Daphnia pulex: one gene and its partners. The protein of the gene in region 2 binds, or shares a complex with, the protein of the main gene of each other region. Links are inferred from orthologs where the notes say so. Each region holds a gene or a part of one and is shown on either strand. Other genes may lie near its edges.

The links. Proteins that work in one complex are often made in the same cells at the same time.
Region 1: the proteins of actin-related protein 2 (region 2) and actin-related protein 2/3 complex subunit 4 are in contact, whole or in part, in a cryo-EM structure (PDB 6YW6), measured with the Homo sapiens proteins. The link is inferred for Daphnia pulex from reciprocal best matches to the Homo sapiens genes ACTR2 and ARPC4. Residues at the interface, in NP_005713.1 of Homo sapiens: Tyr222, Val223, Tyr225, Gln229, Glu230, Lys232, Leu233, Ala234, Leu235, Glu236, Thr237, Thr238, Val239, Lys253, Thr308, Met309, Tyr310, Pro311, Gly312, Pro314, Ser315, Asp346; in NP_005709.1 of Homo sapiens: Val29, Val30, Glu31, Arg32, His33, Lys35, Pro36, Glu39, Val40, Ala98, Glu99, Asn100, Phe102, Ile103, Leu104, Arg105, Arg106, Lys107, Leu117, Thr119.
Region 3: actin-related protein 2 (region 2) and actin-related protein 2/3 complex subunit 3-like share a complex: the UniProt entries of both Homo sapiens proteins name them as parts of the arp2/3 complex. The link is inferred for Daphnia pulex from reciprocal best matches to the Homo sapiens genes ACTR2 and ARPC3.

Annotation. Positions count from the first base shown.
Region 1 is NC_060028.1:5,631,093-5,636,620, reverse strand, and holds actin-related protein 2/3 complex subunit 4, read right to left. Parts: upstream 3,448-5,528; 5' UTR 3,276-3,447; coding exon 3,273-3,275; intron 3,088-3,272; coding exon 2,969-3,087; intron 2,909-2,968; coding exon 2,701-2,908; intron 2,571-2,700; coding exon 2,400-2,570; intron 2,337-2,399; coding exon 2,331-2,336; 3' UTR 2,145-2,330; downstream 1-2,144. Other genes in the region: mitochondrial carnitine/acylcarnitine carrier protein-like, read left to right, coding at 632-733, 795-906, 998-1,154, 1,231-1,270, 1,335-1,455, 1,529-1,708, 1,811-1,916, 1,986-2,067; uncharacterized protein LOC124209792, read right to left, coding at 3,895-4,651, 4,709-5,454. UniProt on the Homo sapiens protein: Actin-binding component of the Arp2/3 complex, a multiprotein complex that mediates actin polymerization upon stimulation by nucleation-promoting factor (NPF).
Region 2 is NC_060020.1:5,356,972-5,363,891, reverse strand, and holds actin-related protein 2, read left to right. Parts: upstream 1-2,445; 5' UTR 2,446-2,590; coding exon 2,591-2,638; intron 2,639-2,729; coding exon 2,730-2,840; intron 2,841-3,328; coding exon 3,329-3,408; intron 3,409-3,474; coding exon 3,475-3,610; intron 3,611-3,697; coding exon 3,698-3,907; intron 3,908-3,969; coding exon 3,970-4,119; intron 4,120-4,199; coding exon 4,200-4,478; intron 4,479-4,543; coding exon 4,544-4,711; 3' UTR 4,712-4,880; downstream 4,881-6,920. Other genes in the region: ATP synthase-coupling factor 6, mitochondrial-like, read right to left, coding at 1-121, 179-327; macro domain-containing protein CT2219-like, read left to right, coding at 846-954, 1,012-1,251, 1,319-1,438, 1,503-1,606, 1,676-1,876; activating transcription factor 3-like, read right to left, coding at 5,538-5,748, 5,827-6,037, 6,155-6,392, 6,483-6,920. UniProt on the Homo sapiens protein: ATP-binding component of the Arp2/3 complex, a multiprotein complex that mediates actin polymerization upon stimulation by nucleation-promoting factor (NPF).
Region 3 is NC_060026.1:13,599,003-13,604,116, reverse strand, and holds actin-related protein 2/3 complex subunit 3-like, read left to right. Parts: upstream 1-1,913; 5' UTR 1,914-2,178; coding exon 2,179-2,184; intron 2,185-2,287; coding exon 2,288-2,657; intron 2,658-2,723; coding exon 2,724-2,881; 3' UTR 2,882-2,970; downstream 2,971-5,114. Other genes in the region: vacuolar protein sorting-associated protein 33A-like, read right to left, coding at 1-2, 65-191, 264-558, 626-730, 794-881, 943-1,052; endoplasmic reticulum resident protein 29-like, read right to left, coding at 3,195-3,587, 3,649-3,900, 4,068-4,181. UniProt on the Homo sapiens protein: Component of the Arp2/3 complex, a multiprotein complex that mediates actin polymerization upon stimulation by nucleation-promoting factor (NPF).

The DNA.
Region 1 (5,528 bases), on a different chromosome or scaffold from region 2:
TCGAAAACAATTCACTCAGATTCAACATTCAATGTTTCAATTCCCATTATTCATATGTTTACAGAATAATTTTAAATGAATAAACATACAGTAATAAATAATTAAATATATCGTGCTCTCCCGTTATTCTTATTCGAAAAAACGGAAAAATCCACCAAAATGCCACTCTACGGGAGTGTGAATCATTATGGACACTAAAAAAAAAAACGATTGTATTGCCTTCAGTGCTGCTCAGTAAAATGCGATTATTATTTTTTTTTTCGCGATTGCGAAAGAAAATTTATTTGATGAAGTAGTTAACTTTAATTGATGGTATGAAATCTAAATTTGTCTAAACGAGTGATAATTTGCAGATTTTGTATCGATCAACGTAGTGGCCAATGAAATGTTGTTATCTGACTTTGCCTAAAGGGGCAATAGGATATCAGCTCTTTCGGGCTTCGGCTGCTACAACTTACAAGCATGCTTGTTTCTATCTGTGAAGCGCTGTAAAGACTGGAAGAACCAGTTCCTCTTTCACTAGTTATTTACAATTACAATCACTAAAAGTCACATCCCTGTTTTTTCACTTTGTTATTTCTTTCTTGTCTAAATAATTGCAAGAGGTTCTAGTACTAGAAAAAAATATAAAATGGGCGAAGTGAATAAAGTCAGCCCAATCAAAAATTTTTTTGCCGGTGGTTTTGGCGGTATTTGTACCATATTTGTTGGCCACCCGTTTGATACTTTAAAGGTATATGATGTGAACGTTCTTCTTCTTGATATTTATTGATTTTAAAAACATTTTGCTTTAGGTTCGACTTCAAACAATGCCTATCATACCTGGACAGGCTCCTCTGTATAGTGGAACATGGGACTGCTTGACAAAAACAATCAAGCATGAAGGATTTCGAGGTCTCTATAAAGGTGAATATATTTTGATATATTGGGGTCTTTTCCAGTGTGTGTAATTATATTAGACAATTTGAACTATCATCTGAAATTCTTATTCATCAAGGTATGGCTGCCCCAATTACTGGAGTTGCACCTATTTTTGCCATAAGTTTTCTAGGCTTTGGAATTGGAAAAAAGCTTCAACAAAGCCATCCCAATGAAAGGCTATCATTACTCCAGCTTTTTAATGCAGGAGCATTTTCTGCAATTGGCACAACAATGTAGGAATACCGAATACTATACTTAACCTTTAACAGCATTGTCTATCAATAATCATTATTTTTTCCAATCTTAAAGCATCATGGCTCCTGGTGAGAGAATTAAATGTCTTCTTCAGGTAGTAGATTTGCAAGTGGTGAAAATTAAGGAAGACTATATCAATTCTCACCCAATGCTTGTAGGTTCAACAAGCCAGTACTGGCCCTGCAAAGTATGCAGGACCAATTGACTGTATTCGGCAGTTATATAAACAAGGAGGTATACGGAGTATCTATCGGGGAACAGGAGCTACACTGCTCAGAGGTAAGGTTGACTCAACTATAGTTCAAGAAGAAAATTTCTGCAACTACAGATGAACTCTCTTTCGATTTGGTAGATGTTCCAGCCAGCGGGATCTATTTTATGACCTATGAATGGCTCCAGGTTGCACTTGCACCAGAAAACTCCGACGGGAAATTAAGCCCAATTCGGACAATGTTTGCCGGTGGAATGGCAGGAATCGCCAACTGGATTATTGCCATCCCACCGGATGTACTGAAGAGTAGACTACAAACAGGTAATATTTTTTAATAGAATCAGATATTAGGCTATTAAATAAATGAGTTAAGTGAAAGGTAATATGATAACTTTATATCTTCGATTATTTTCCCACTTGAAGCTCCCGAAGGAACGTATCCTAATGGAGTGCGTGACGTCTTTAAAGTGTTGATGCGCGAAGAAGGTGTTCGAGCTCTCTATAGAGGAGCAGTTCCAGTGTTTCTTAGGTAATAGGGACATATTTAATTAAATAAGAATTTTTGATAACATTTTTTAACGTCCATTTTTCTTTAAAGAGCCTTCCCTGCAAATGCCGTTTGCTTCTTAGGATTTGAAATGGCTTTGAAGTTTTTGAACTGGTTAGCTCCTTCTATCTAATTGCGGAGCACTGATATTGTTCCAAGTAGATATTATCAAGAAATATGCACACTCCAGTTTGACTAAATACAATATAGTTTTCTGTAATATTTTCATTTATTATTTTTTGAGCTTGTGCATGAACTCAAACTAGGAGTTATCTGATTGTACACAAGTCGGATCATTTTACTGAATTAGCTTGGCTTGGAAACAGGTTTTTATGCAAATAAACTTGGGAATTATCTGGTCTCAATTTTCTTCCAGTTATCCAATAAATTCTCGAATTAAAACTATTAAAAAATGGGAAATGTTAGTCGGTAATAACTGATGAAAAAATTGACAGTAAAACACACCCGCTTTAAAAACTCCTCAGCGCACACACGGGCTCGTGCGTTGACGGCCAATTTCATTTCGCTAATTTCTTTGTCTATCTCTTCCATGAAGTGGATGACAAAATCCACTAATTTATGTTTGTACATGGCTTCAGTATGAAAATTAGTTATCAAGAAACTTATGTCATAACCCTAGAGAAATTATCAATGTATAACAACATATTTTAGAATATTTTAAAAAGAGTTTACCTTAACAACATATTTTAGAATATTTTAAAAAGAGTTTAACAACATATTTTAGAATATGTTAAAAAGAGTTTACCTCAACAGGCTTTCGTCTCAAAACAACAAAATTTTCTGCTCGCATCATCATGAACCTCATAAATTTGTGGCAAAGAATTTTTTCAATTTCATCAGCCTGTTTGATAGAAATGCTAATCCGAACAGAATTAATAGAGGCTTCTATCAAGACTTTTTCTTTCTCATTTCTTGAAATAACAACTGGATTCAGTAATAATTCCTTGCTTGTTCTATGTTTCAAAATAGTATTTATTAATGTTTACTCAATTTTTTCACTCATTTAACCTTACCTGACTTCCACTTCAGGTTTATTGTGTCTTTCAACAACTTGGGAAGAAAAGTTTTCCAAACACATTGCAGCTTCCAGTGTACTTCTAACTGCGGACAAGTAAGGCCTCAAAGTTGCTGACTAAAAATGACAAAATATTAATTATACGTGTACACATAAGACGATAGGAATGATAAAAGGAAGAGGGTGTGGTAAAGTGTTTGAAATGTGTTTTTGTCTGATGAGTTCAAAACATAATATTTTCAAAGTTCTTTTTGGATTAGCTGGGTTTGAATCACAACACAGAAGTTTAAGAGCAAACTAACCATTTTTTGCAATTTGCACAGCTGAAAAGCGTAGAATCTTAAGATAGTTCAAGAATATGTTCCACGGACACTATTTAGGCCCTACTCAATTTAGTGCTTTCTTTGGCTTTTTTCAGTGGGGTGGGCCGGATCTGTCAAAAACCGCAATTTTTTAAGATAACATGGGAACCGACGAAGAATGGAAACAGTTCAATCTGCTGCCAGTAGAGGGCCCGTATTAAATAAAGCAAAAAAATCAATCAATCAATTTCCTTTATTCAAGAAATTTACCGTGAGATCACAGATCACAAATCAAGCCGAATATAAACAAGTTTTAGTCCTTAGGGGTTTCGTAAATATCTTTGATCTAAGACTTGTTGTTAGTTTGTTATATATTACTTGTATAGGTAGAATTGAAGATAAGTCTATAACTAAACTTTTGTTTTGTGTGTTTTTTTAAGGGAGCGTTAGAAATGATATATGCAGATAGATATCCGCTACGTGCAGTCGATGCCGGTATATTTGTTTTATTTTGAGAAATAATAGGTTAACAAACATAGAATCAAAGTAACGATTGCACTAATTTGTTGACGATTGCACTAATTTGTTGCACTGATTTGTTGATGCAGCACATATCACCATATCAACTGTCCTTTTCCATTGGAGATGAAGAAGCCCGACAAATGAAAACCAACGTTTCTATTTGGTATTTATCAGCTGCCTCCAATAGAAGTAAATTAGGGGTAGAGTCGAGTATGCGGCCATTATAAATAAAGAACAAAATTTGTTCGAATATGCTTGGTGTAATGTCGCTGATGTCAACACACCCAGTATTCGCCTCGAGCATGTCGTGGGAAAACATTGCGGCAAAAACTGGGCTCCGGGCGGCCAAAATCCATCGATGGGCATGAAAGATACGCCCAGAGACGAGCAACTGAACATCGGTGGTCATGCCATCCAAAGCGGAACGCCAAAGCTGAGTTGGGCAAAGACTGTCCTGCAATTCGTATCGATATTCCTCATTATCCGCTTGTTCGATCGTCACACAGAACGTGAACTGGTAACATTTGTATCCATTTGCAACGGAGAAATTGCTTGTGAAGACCAGATTTTTATTAAGATCCATGTTGTGTTTCTTCTGTGAACAGGGATCCCATCTGTTGAAGTATGAGACACCAACCACTCGACTGTTTCGACCAGTAAAAAAGTATAGGTCGAACTCGCTACAATTTGTATATGGGATGATACGTACACACTGAATACCAACGCCGAACCACATACCGTCCTTTGATTTATTAGAGAAAGTTGTGCGATTCAAAGTTGGCAACTTTTTCAACGTCCATGAATATTGCATTACGACACCTCCTTTCGTTAATTGTGAGTTCACGTCAGCTTCACATCTAAAAATATATCAATTTATGGTTTATGAAATTTAAATGAATTAAATATAAGAATACTTCGTGACCATTTTTTCCATTGTTCCATTTGCGGTAAATTTAGGAAGCATTTCATCTACGAAGTATTTCTTTGCATACGTTTTCATATCTATGAGATAATAATCACAGTCATCTAGTAGACCAGTGTAGAGAAAATGAAGAAATCTTCGGAAAGTAACAGGATCTTCATCCAAAATAAGTTGTTCAACTGCAGCATCTTTTATTTTTGCCGTCAAAGCAGGGCAGCGAGCGGCCAAAACTGATTTGTGGACTGGAAGCTTATGACCTCTAACCGTTAACACGAGGTCCGTAAATGGCCCATTCATGGATTCAATAATCTGTTTTTTCCATTGTGAATCGGTTAACTGTAAACAAAAAGATGACTCTCCAATTACGTGGACTTCAAAAATGATACAAATATCACGCAATTTAGAAGCTAAGCGATTGAAAGGAATCAACAAACTAAATTGCTGAACCGACGAATATGATTCAACACTCTCCATAAAACCAACAAAGTTCGTCTCTGGTTGATTTACTGAAACTCTTGTAGCACGCAGACCGAAACGATTCAGGTAAATACATTCCAGATAAATCTTAATAAGGCTCGCGGGTCTTTCTGAAGTCTGAAAATGGATCCGACAAGTTGGCTGATTTTTGAAGAATACCGTACTAGACAAAAACGTATTCGAATGTGTCATTGAAATGAGGCATAGTTTGGTATTTAACATCAAACTTGTTGGTTCTTCTCTGATTAATTTCGATAACATACTACCAAAAGTCCTAAATACAAAGATATATTTTAATTCGTGAAAATATGCAATCTAAATTTAAAATGCTCATT
Region 2 (6,920 bases):
GGGGAACTTGGTCATATCGGCTCCATCAGCTCCACCATAAACACGGCGAACTCTGTCCAGCTCAGTTGCAATATCTTTCTGGATAGCAGGAGATGGGTCGACCAATTTTCCTCCGGCAGCTCTAAAGAACACCAATAATTAACAGATGGTAACAGAAATGATAAAATCTAATACATACTTGCTCTTGACTTTGTACTCATTCAGTTTGTCCAAAAAGAGTTTCTGAATGGGATCAACTGCTTTATTAGCAACAACTGCAGATATTCCAAACTGCCTCTGCAGGACTGTTCCTTGACGAACAGCTAGCCGGGTTCGAGTCGCAAACATGTTGATGACCTGAGAGTATAGATCATTTAGCCTTCACAAATATTTGGAAACTACAAACAGATCTCACAACAAATTAATCGGTAATGCAATACAAAGTTTAACAAGAAAGGAGACGCACAGTAAAATATATTTACCTATGCAAGTTGCTCACAGATGCAATCCAAAATGTCTTCCGTCGTCTACACTCAGTCTACTTTTCTCATTCACGAAAATGGCAGGATAGCCGCTTACCAATAAATCCCTAAACACTCAAAGAAAACGGAAAGGAAATATTTTAAGGAACATACCAGATGCAACATGAAAATTTTCCAAATACTTTACATATTAAAACTTTGAATTATCAATGAATTACATAATCTATATATTAATGTAATTTAAAATAAATTATGACGATTTGCAATTGTTTACCTTTAGATTTAGGCAATCACCAGCAGCCGACTAGCCGATCAGTACTAACAGCTGACTAACACACACCTAAAAATCGCCTGAAAATCGCTTCGTACATAACAACGTAGTGTATGTATTTCATTCAAACGATTGGTAAATATTTAATACCGAAGGGATATTTCAATAAATCAATTTCCATTATGGCGAAAGAATTCAAAAATTGGCAGGAAGCCAAAGGTATAATTAGAATTTGAAGAAGGCTGTGGTTGCTTTATCATGTAATTACATTCTTTACAGAGTACTTTGAAAAAAGCACTGCAACTCGAAATCAACATTGTGTTTCAGTGAAAGAGATTCCAACTTGGGAAGAGACATCAAAAGAAATTCCCCATTCTACATCAGATGGAAACAATACTGATTTAAAACCCAATTTATCAATCAATTCTAAAGTTTCTCTTTGGAAAGGGGATATAACTCAACTAGAAGTTGGAGCGATTGTCAATGCAGCCAATAGCAGGTTGGCTGGTGGTGGTGGAGGTGAAATTTAATAAAGAATATTGAAAATTTCTAAATTGTTTATCAATGTTTTGTGTTACCTCAACAGTTGATGGAGCAATTCATAAAGCAGCTGGTCCTTATCTTCTTGAAGAATGTCAATCTATCAAAGGTGGTTGTCAAACAGGGGATGCTAAACTGACAGGAGGATACAAACTACCTGCAAAGTGTAAATTTTTCTCTAGAAAAAGTATGAATGATATCCTGTTTCTATACAGTATTTATGTTTCCAGATGTGATTCAGACTGTTGGACCTATGGACCAAGACTCTAACTTGCTGTCTGATTGTTATTCTAATAGTCTTAAACTTGCGAATAAAAATGAACTAAAAACAATAGTAAGTCATGATTTTACATTCTAGTACCTTTTAGGGATTCCATTTCTTCATCTTCAAAATTTTAATTAGGTATTTCCCTGCATTTCAACTGGGGTTTATGGTTACCCCAATAGAGATGCAGCTGCAGTAGCATTGTTAACAACAAGAAAATTTCTTGAAAGTGATGAATCAACATTGGAAAGAGTGATATTCTGTGTGTTTTTAGATAAAGATCTAAAAGTATATCAAGAATTGCTACCTAAATATTTTTCAGTAAAGGCTGTTTTGTGATCTGATTTGATAACATGAAAAATTTTGAAAATTTGGTAATGTACAACATGTGTACAGCATGAACAGGCTTGGAATAAAAGAATGGCAAAAAATCTTTGAAATATCCTTTTTAAATTTGAATGCATCATCAAGTTCTTGCTTTGCCAAGGAATTTACTCAATTTAGTTTCCTCAGCCTTCCTATGATTTTGGCCAGTTTGGTTTCATGTTCTTTAAAGAAGATGTTCTAGTGTTGCATGCTTCAATGGATAATATTCAGTGTTGGTAAGAGTATTTGACTTTAGTATGCATATACAATTCATTCGTTTAATTTATTTAATTCTTTTTTGTCTGTTATTGAACATTTTGAATTTCCCGGTTGATTAACGGCGTTGCCAAAATTCTTCAGATAAATCATTGCATCAAAATAATGTAGTTCACAAATTAATTTAAAATCTATACTTTACAATTTCAAAATTTTTTTTAAGAAACTTTATCTCAAATATTTTATAACGATTCGAGATAGTCATTTAAAACCAGAGTTAACTGATTAACCAGCTGGATTAACCAATGATGTTAAGCAATCGGTTGCCGTGGCAACTCCCAACCCCCATGAGCTGCTATCGTCTGGCTCCGACGGGAAGTAGTTTTGGTTTTAGGGCGCTGTCAAATTGTGTGTCGTATTGTTCACGAATTGAGATTATCAATATAAAATCAACTATTAACAAACTTTGAGATGGATAGTCAAGGAAGAAAAGTATTAGTTTGTGATAATGGAACAGGGGTGAGTTATTTTTTTCTTTTGAAATATTTATTAATGTTGTTTTGCCGGCCATGTAGCAAACTAGCAACTCACCTTTATCAATGTTGGATAGTTTGTCAAAGTTGGATATGCAGGATCAAACTTTCCAGCACATATCTTCCCATCTTTGGTTGGACGACCTATCATTCGCGCTGCCAACAAAATTGGTGACATCGAAGTGAAGGTATGATAAAATTCTTTTCTTTCAAGCAGTTTCGATCTTACTGTCCATTTCCATGGTTTCGACATCACACAAAACTTTCTAGGGTTATCAAATTAAGGTGACATTCCAAGGATAAGTACAGAGGGAATCTCACATGTTTTGCATTTAAAAAAATCTGTGTCATGTTCTTATAACACAGATATAGTTTAAAAACCTATAAAGTCATAACAGTGATAGTAAAAAACCAACTTGTGCCGTCCTATAACATGAATGTCTTTGTGGAGTTTTGATTTTGATTGTAAAAAAAGGTTTTGTTATTTTCTAATGAACTGAATCATGATTTTGGCTTAATTGCTTGCCTTTCAATCAGGGATTTGCTCACATATCTGTAAGTATTGAGCACTTTATGGTGTGATATTGTTTGTTGGAATTTTGCATTGATGTTTAGTTGCATGTAACTTAGTGTTCTTTTTAATTGAATCTAAATTAATGAAGACTTTTATCAACAGGATTTAATGGTCGGAGATGACGCGAGTAAACTTCGCTCAATGCTTGAAGTGAACTACCCTATGGAAAACGGAATCGTTAGGTATATATCGATACATTTATTAAATTTGAACTGGTGTTTATAAATCTGCTTGTTTGTGTTCCTTAGGAATTGGGAAGACATGTGTCATGTGTGGGATTACACTTTTGGCCCTGAGAAAATGAACATTGACCCTCACCAATGTAAGGTCTTGCTAACAGAGCCTCCGATGAACCCTTTGAAGAATCGCGAGAAAATGATTGAGGTAAATGTTTTTAATTGTCACCATGTTTCAATGGTGGTGGTGGAAATGGGTGTGTAAAAATTCGAATCTTTGTGCCGTTTGTTACAGGTCATGTTCGAAAAATATGGATTTGCCGGAACCTACGTGGCCATCCAAGCAGTTCTAACACTTTACGCACAGGGTCTGCTGACGGGAGTTGTTGTCGATTCTGGAGACGGTGTCACTCACATTTGTCCTGTGTACGAAGGGTTTGCAATGCCTCACTTAACCAGACGTCTTGACATTGCCGGAAGAGATATTACCCGATATCTCATCAAGGTAGAATCAATGATCCATCCCGCAATAGTTTGGCATGAATTCAGTAATATTCCTCTTTATAGCTCTTGCTGCTGAGAGGCTACGCATTCAATCATACGGCAGACTTTGAAACTGTTCGCCAGTTGAAAGAAAAACTTTGTTATATTGGCTATAACATTGAAACGGAACAAAAACTGGCTCTCGAAACAACCGTTTTAGTCGAATCATACACAGTAAGTTTCCCTTTATTCTACCTTCGAGTCGCTGTGGCCATGGCATATTTAAAAACCAAAAAATTCGATTTCTAAAAAAGCTTCCAGATGGGCGCGTCATCAAAGTGGGTGGTGAACGGTTCGAAGCCCCTGAAGCGCTTTTCCAGCCTCACTTGATCAACGTTGAAGGGTCAGGAATCGCCGAGCTAGTCTTCTCGACTATCCAAGCGGCCGACATCGATGTCCGCCCGTCGCTATACAAACACATCGTCCTTTCAGGCGGTTCAACCATGTATCCCGGACTTCCGTCTAGGCTCGAACGGGAAATCAAACAGCTGTACCTTGAACGAGTTCTTAAAGGCGACACGGAGAAACTTACGGTACAACGATGAAATTTTGTGTTCTAGACGTACATTTTACTTACTACTCTTTTCTTGGCACGCAGAAATTCAAAATTCGTATTGAAGATCCTCCTCGCCGTAAAGACATGGTTTTCATTGGTGGTGCCGTATTGGCCGATGTCATGAAAGACAAAGAATCTTTCTGGATGTCGAGGGAAGAGTACAATGAGCGTGGCATCCGCGTGCTGGACAAACTGGTCAACCGCTCCTAACGCGCAATTTTAAACGCTCGTTCCTCTTTTCCGATTCCCATCGAAGGTCATGTTATTACTAATCAGATGTCCATTTTTTTTTTTCATGTTGCTGGGTTCACATTCCCGCCCTCCCTAATTTTTGTTGACCCCCAAATTCTGGCTGAATAAACAAAAATAGCCTCTGTAATTATAGCAACTAATCAGGCGAGAGAAGAAAACTCAAGCAATTTTATTATTGCACATAGGGGGAAAGTATGGCCGTGGTAGCAGATAATTTCAGAGAGGAGGACATATTTAACATTCCCAAGGCAACAACAGGAGAAAGAAAAAAAAACGAAGGGAAATACCTTTTTAAAAGGTTACACTGGGCACGACCATGAAGCCATAGTTTAAAATGGTTAACAACGTCATTATTTAAAAAAAAAAAACAGCCGCAAGAAATGCACACAAGGATATGTGAATTCTCGGATAAGGCACAGGCGTAGTATAGGAGAATGAATGTAGTTTTTTTTTTCCGTTGACTTCTTGCATTTTCTTTAACACAAAGAAGATAAGAAGGCGGCCATGACTACGATTTGACATTTAAACAACAATTCTTTTCTTATTTTTTTCCGAAGCTCTACCTTTTAGTCTTTGCGCAGGGCGATGAGAAGGAGAACAAACAATTTGAAACGGATAAATACATGTACGTCATGAAATCATTTAGTTGGTCCCGATTTGTTGTCGTTTGACACCGAAAAAGGAGAAACATACAGAAAAGAGGCAGTAGATAATAGTATACAAAAAAGGATGGCACTTGGTAGTAAATTTATAGGTGGTTTGCGCCTGTCTTATATGATGTTATTTACCGGTAATTCTGCCCAGAGAGGTTATTATCTCCGCCGCCGTAAGAGCCCCGCTGCTGGATCAAATTTACTTGACTGTTGACGTACGACGGAGGGCCTTCGCCGCTGTTGTTGTTGTAATTACCGGCAGACGTTTCGGAAGTGACGTCATAAGTTGACGAATGGTGATGATGATGATTGCCGGCCATGGCGGCAGATTCAGAACTGGATCTGAGCATTCCAAATTAAATTTCGGTAGATTATTTCAACTGGTTTTCACAATCAAATCAGGAGGCATTCTTTGTGTACCTGTTACAGTCGTACATCGGTCCATAATTGGAAGAGGATAGGCCGCCCGACATGACGTAAGCCTGATCCGAAGGAACAACAACCTGATGATCGAACGAGACAACTGATTCACCACCTCGAGTTCCTACCTGTGAAGCGGTACCAGTGCCGGGATCGTGTTGTATGAAGTCGGAAGAACAACTGGTTGGAGTTGGACGGTGATTTCCGGCGGCTAAATTGAAATGAGCAACAACAAGACAGAAAAAAAAAAAAACAGTTGAAAAACCAAATAAGAACCACGTACGATAGACGACGGCAAAAGAAAAAGTTTAGACTGGGTCAAACTCACCTGTTTTTAAACAAGTGGGCGAGTGCATGGCCAGCACATCCATCAAACGGCGCTTTTCCGCCTCCAGCCTTTGGATTTCTGAACGAAAGTTAACGTTTTGATCCTCGAGCGCGTCCGATTCCTGCATCAAAATGCCAGTTCGCTCTTTTTTGCGGTTTCGACATTTGGTAGCGGCTACTTTGTTCCGCTCACGCCTTCTCCGACGACGTTCTTCATCTTCTGTTGTCAGCTGTCCCATCCGCACGAAACACGGAGATTAACGAGAAAGTTACCAGCTGCTGTTCGACGCGCAAAAAAGTAAACGAAAACTCGGAAAATTCAGAAATACCTCATCTTTGAGTGGCATGTGGCCGTGCTGATCCGACTCGAGCGACCCTCGGCCGGAAGCCAAACGCTTGCTCTGGATCGTCAGTTTGAGTCCCTCCTTGATCAAATACGTTCGAGTGTTTTGGATGGATGGCGGGCCACCGGCCGGCGGAGTAGACGGAGTGGCCGGCGAGGAACATAACGAAGAAAAGGAAGAAAAAGATGAAGAGGCGTGTTCGCCCGGTGATGAAGGGCCATCGCCCGGGGTCGAAGCTGGAAGTCCCGCTGAGACTCCTGCGCTTCCCAGTGGAGTCGAAGAGGACGACTGGAAGTAACTGAACGACGAAGAGCCGGAAGCGTTGCCGATGTTGGTAGCAGATCCGTACCGTCCTCCGCCCCCGTAAGATGCGACATTGTCAAACGGAGCTCCGGCCAGCAAATTGAGAATCTCCGGAGTGCG
Region 3 (5,114 bases), on a different chromosome or scaffold from region 2:
CCCTGCGAAAATAAATAACTTTTAAAACTGTCGGAAGCAAAATTTGTCTGATTCAAAATTTCACCTCAAATCAGCGTAAAGCTCTTCGGCCGAGTTTAGAACAACAGATTTAACAGAGCTACCATCAGAGCGAGGTGACTGGCCCGCATGTGATGAGGCTTGAAAATTTTCTCCTGGAAACTTGACTGTATCTAAATAACAATGAAACCACAAAATGCAAGTAAAATAATTGTTTTACTCAGAAGCTAACAATACTTTCTTACTATGTTTTATTCCATAGAATTCGTCGATAAGACCCTCATAGGTCAACTGAGTGACAAAAGGAGTTATCAAATCTACAGTCCAATCAATGATCATGAGAGTGTCGAACAACGGAGACATGGGGGGATCACAGTCTACCCCAATATCACGTCGCATTCGAGTCATCAATTCGAATAAGTTACGGGCATGGCGCCCCTTACCCACAACGTTGGGGAAAATGCCATATAAACTTTGGAGGGACATTAACCCATGAGCCATTTGGTGTAAGGAGCTGATTTCATTGTCAACATATAAATCCTGAGAATAAATTTGAAGAAGTTGATGACAAGCAATCCCTTTCAAAGTTTGGCTCATAAATAAATACCTTGAAAACATTATCGAGTTCCATTGAAATGACATCACTATCTAGTGGGAAAAAATCAACAGGCAGTTCATCAATAGAAGTAAGAGTTCCATACACTCCTTTGTCCTAAATGAAGTAATAATTATGTCAACAATTTCTTCTTCGCTGATTTAAGTAACTTTAACCAACCTTGAGCCGCTGTTCACATACTGCACTTTGTCGGGAGACAAAAATTAACTGATATTCCTTACTAGCAGAATGTCCTTGGCTTTCTTCGCTGAAATGTAAATCAACTTATTGTTGACTATTTAAAGTTAAAATATGTAGATTATTCATACCTGTGCAAGTTATCGGCAATAAAATCTATCAGCTCAACTTCAGGTCTTGTGATGAACAGTATATTTTTAACAGATATGGAAGGCAAGCGCCCAGGTTTTAACTGGAACATTTTTACAACATCTAGTTCCTTAAGAAAACTGTATTCTGCCACCAAACCAATGGGGCCAGTGAGTTGTTCATCCCAAAATATTGCCTAGCAAAATTGATGAATTTACGTACATTTCTTAAATGGAATAGCACACATCAAAATACCTTTGTTCCACTGAACTTCTCTAAAAGAGAAACAATATCCTGTAACAATAACAAAACTGTTGACGAAATTTATTTTTACTGAACAAGACATCAACAGACTGTCAACAGACAACCTAATGGATTTTGTGGTTGTCCTAAGTCACAAAAAGCTAATGACTAAATCCGCATAAAAATTAATAAAATTTAGTATTACCAAATGAATCGAAACTTACCTAAGCGCTGAGATAAATTACTGTAAGTGTACACAAAAAGTTTGAAGAAAATCGATGCAGTAGTTTAGTTTTCTATAAATTTATTCTGATTCTGAATTAAAGGTTCTGGAAGCCTGGCCCAGAACAGCGTACCTCCCCCACACCCCCCCCCCCTCCACACACACACACCCGCATTTACTTTAATGCCTTCTGGTAGTACAAGTACTACCCTCAGGGATAACCGTACCAACAAAACAGGGATGACGTGTAAACATCAAATGTGCAAGTGATGAAGAGAATCTATTTTTAGTTTGTTCGACGATGGCAACAACAACACACAAAAAAATGGGCGCCTCTGAGCTAACCAGGACGACAGCCTGGCTAGAGTTGCAACAAATGAAAACGAGTGAGTCGTTGGTCGATAATAATACAGTGGCAAGACTCTATCTGAATAACCACAACCACAGACGGGCGTGTGATACGTGACTAGCAAGCCAAATCAATGCATTCAAGATAAAAAAACAGCTGCAAAAAAACTTACCTTTTTTGTGTAGCTCAATTCACGACCGAATGGCTGCATAACAATCGATAGACATTACAACATGATCGATACGTAATCGTATCGGCCTTTCGTCGGCCGATATCTAAGTCACTATAGTATCTTTGAGGAAGGGGCTGGGTTTCCTTTTCCACCACAACAATTTCTTGTTTTCAATATTGAGCAATATCAGCCGGCTCAGTGTTTTTTTTTCTTTTTGAGCTGTCAATTCGCACATATTTTTTTCCACAGAAATGCCGGTAAGTTTGTTTATCAGATGTCGTATTTTTCGGATTTTTGAAAAGTGCAGAATACGTTGGTTTGTGTTGTGCCTGACAATTGTGTTGTTTCTGATTTCAACAGGCTTATCATTCCCAGTTTTTGAACCCACCCCAAGTCGTTGGGAATATGGCCATTTTGCCGTTGAAAACCCAGTTCCGAGGGCCAGCTCCCAAAGAAATGGGGGAGTCAGATGTCCTGGATGAGGCATTGTACTACTTCAAGGCAAATGTCTTCTTCCGCACATATGAAGTCAAAAGCGAAGCAGACAGACTCCTGATCTACCTTACACTCTACATCACAGAGTGCCTAAAGAAGCTCCAAAAGTGTTCAAACAAGAATACAGCTCAGAACGAGATGTATACCTTGGCAATATCAAAGTTTGACATTCCTGGGGAACCTGGTTTCCCGCTCAACTCTGTATATGCTAAACCTACCAGCCAGCATGAAGCAGGTAGAGTAGCAGTTGTAAAAACATGCTTTTTCTCATCTGATAACATTTCTGTTGCTTTTTAAATAGATTTGTTGAGGCAGTATCTGACGCAAGCCAGGCAAGAGATGGGTTTAAGACTGGTAGATAAAGTTTTCTGCACAGAAGATGGAAAGCCTTCCAAATTTTGGCTCTGCTTTGCTAAAAAGAAGTTCATGGACAAGTCATTATCAGCTCCTGGGATGTAAGAAGTCATTGCGTTTATCCTTACGTTTATCTTTCCGTTAATTACGTGCAACATGGGTTGATCAAATAAATCTAATTTGTTCAAGTTTTATTTTTAGCATTAATATTATTGCCTGTACCAATAAGAAAAAAACACAACAACGTCTGGAACTATATGGCTGTATTGGCCCATCAAATAATAAAAAAATACAGTATTTGCGAAGAAAATGAGAATGCATCGCTTTGAATAGCTGGGTTTGGTCTTCGCACTATATGAATAAAGGGACCATATTCGGCATGTATCGAATGGCCGAGAAGAACAGTTTTTTATTAGATTCATAGTTCAGTGTTTGCAGCTGGACGTTTCGGCTGGAATGATTGGAGAATGTTGACTCGTCTCTCCATTTCGTCTTTCTTTTCTTTTGCCAATTTTCCTTTGCGCAGTGTGTCCACTCGAGATAATTCCGATTGAAGGAAATCGTTGCCTTTCTCCAGCATTTTGCGCATAACCTTGACGTATACTTCAGCTGATTTCCGTTCGCTGCCAAGTGAAACCTTGTCCCATTCATCCTCCGATTGGCGTAAGATTTCCTTCCGGTCGGAAGGGCTTGAAGCAGCTACAAACCGGTTTGCTAGTCCGTCAAATACTTCCAAACATCCCGGTAAGCCGATCCACAAACCACTCGTGGAACTTACGAATCGTTGCATCATATCGAGTTTGAATTCTCCCTGCACAGAAATCAGATCCATGTCATTGATGTACTTGCTTTAACAATTTTTTATTGGGTACCTGGTATCGGATTGGCTCAGCCTTTCCTTCTGTGAACAACAACATCACAGGGTACTCTTCTTTGACAATCTTGTATCGTTCAGCTATGTCTACATTTTCTTTATCTCCATAATCTTTTACTCCTACTTCTGCAACTAGGATGTCCGGATTGGAAGACAGGGTGGAAGACAATTTCCCGAATTGTTCATGTTTTTCACCGTAAGGATATGCAACATCAATCTTCACAATGGCAGCTTTGAATTTAGATACAACCTGGGTAATCAAAGCAATTTCAATAATAATATGTTAAATAATGCTTAATTTGTTGGCTGATTTAACATGTTGAATAACAATATCAAAGAAAAACCTGTTTAAAATTTAAAATCAATTTACACAAAGGCATTAAAATATAAAAGGTAAGCTTATAAATATTAACATGCCTTCTCAAAAGAGTAAGAGTCCAGTTGAACACAGCCTTGACAGTTATTAGATGATGCACTGGTAAAGGACAGACAGCTGATCAACAAAAATAGATAAAAAGGACTAGGAGACATAATGCACTTGATTGGAAGGAACGCTGGTAATAATACTGAATAATCAGTAATGCACTCTCGTCTGATATAACTGTACTGATACCGTGATAACTGATAAAACCGTATAACTCAAACGACTTAACAAAAGTCAATATTCTGGATTTTTCTTTTACACGTTTTCCAATTCGAAGATGACAGCTCACAATGTTGCCACGTTGGTGCACACGTCAACATAAAATGTTTACGTTGATTTGAACGCCACGACAGAACAGATTCGGCGGGAATTTAACGCTCAATTTATAGTAATTTATAGCCTTATAGGTAGGAAGGGAGGAATCATTTAAAAGTAATTTTATCTATAGATGATTACGTAATTTCACTTTTCAAATCTGAGCAGACAACTAATTCTAGAATAGGCTCCTAGTGTCACCTTATACCAATCCTATTACGAAGTTAAGAAGAAGAAACCTACAACAGGCATTAGCCAATCGTTACGTGGCGCTAAATTGATAGACGACTAATTAAGTAGTAAGCGTTGGATGGTTCCAATAAAATTGTTGTTGCGGATGTTGATAGTCTGCTCCATTCGTAACAAAATAAGCCACTTAAAGTTCATGATGCTGGAAAGATTGCGATGCCGAAAGATTAGCCTGTGCCAATTAATGACGACAGTTAAGTATGGCTAGACTAGAAGACAGCTTGTCTGAGTCAGATAGCGCTTAATAATTTAAACTCGAGAGAATATAACGTGATATGCATCCTCACATTTCTTGGTGCCCATCATCATGCGTCGGTAAACTAAGCTACTCTGTTATTTACATGGTCTAAAAAGTAGAAAATTGATCGTTCCAACCGTCTGGAATTGGAGTTTTTTGTGTGAGCTCTGGCTGTCACGAACGTAGAAAGCAAATAAGAATGACATCTAAATAACGTTTATGAGTTCAAAAGTTTAGA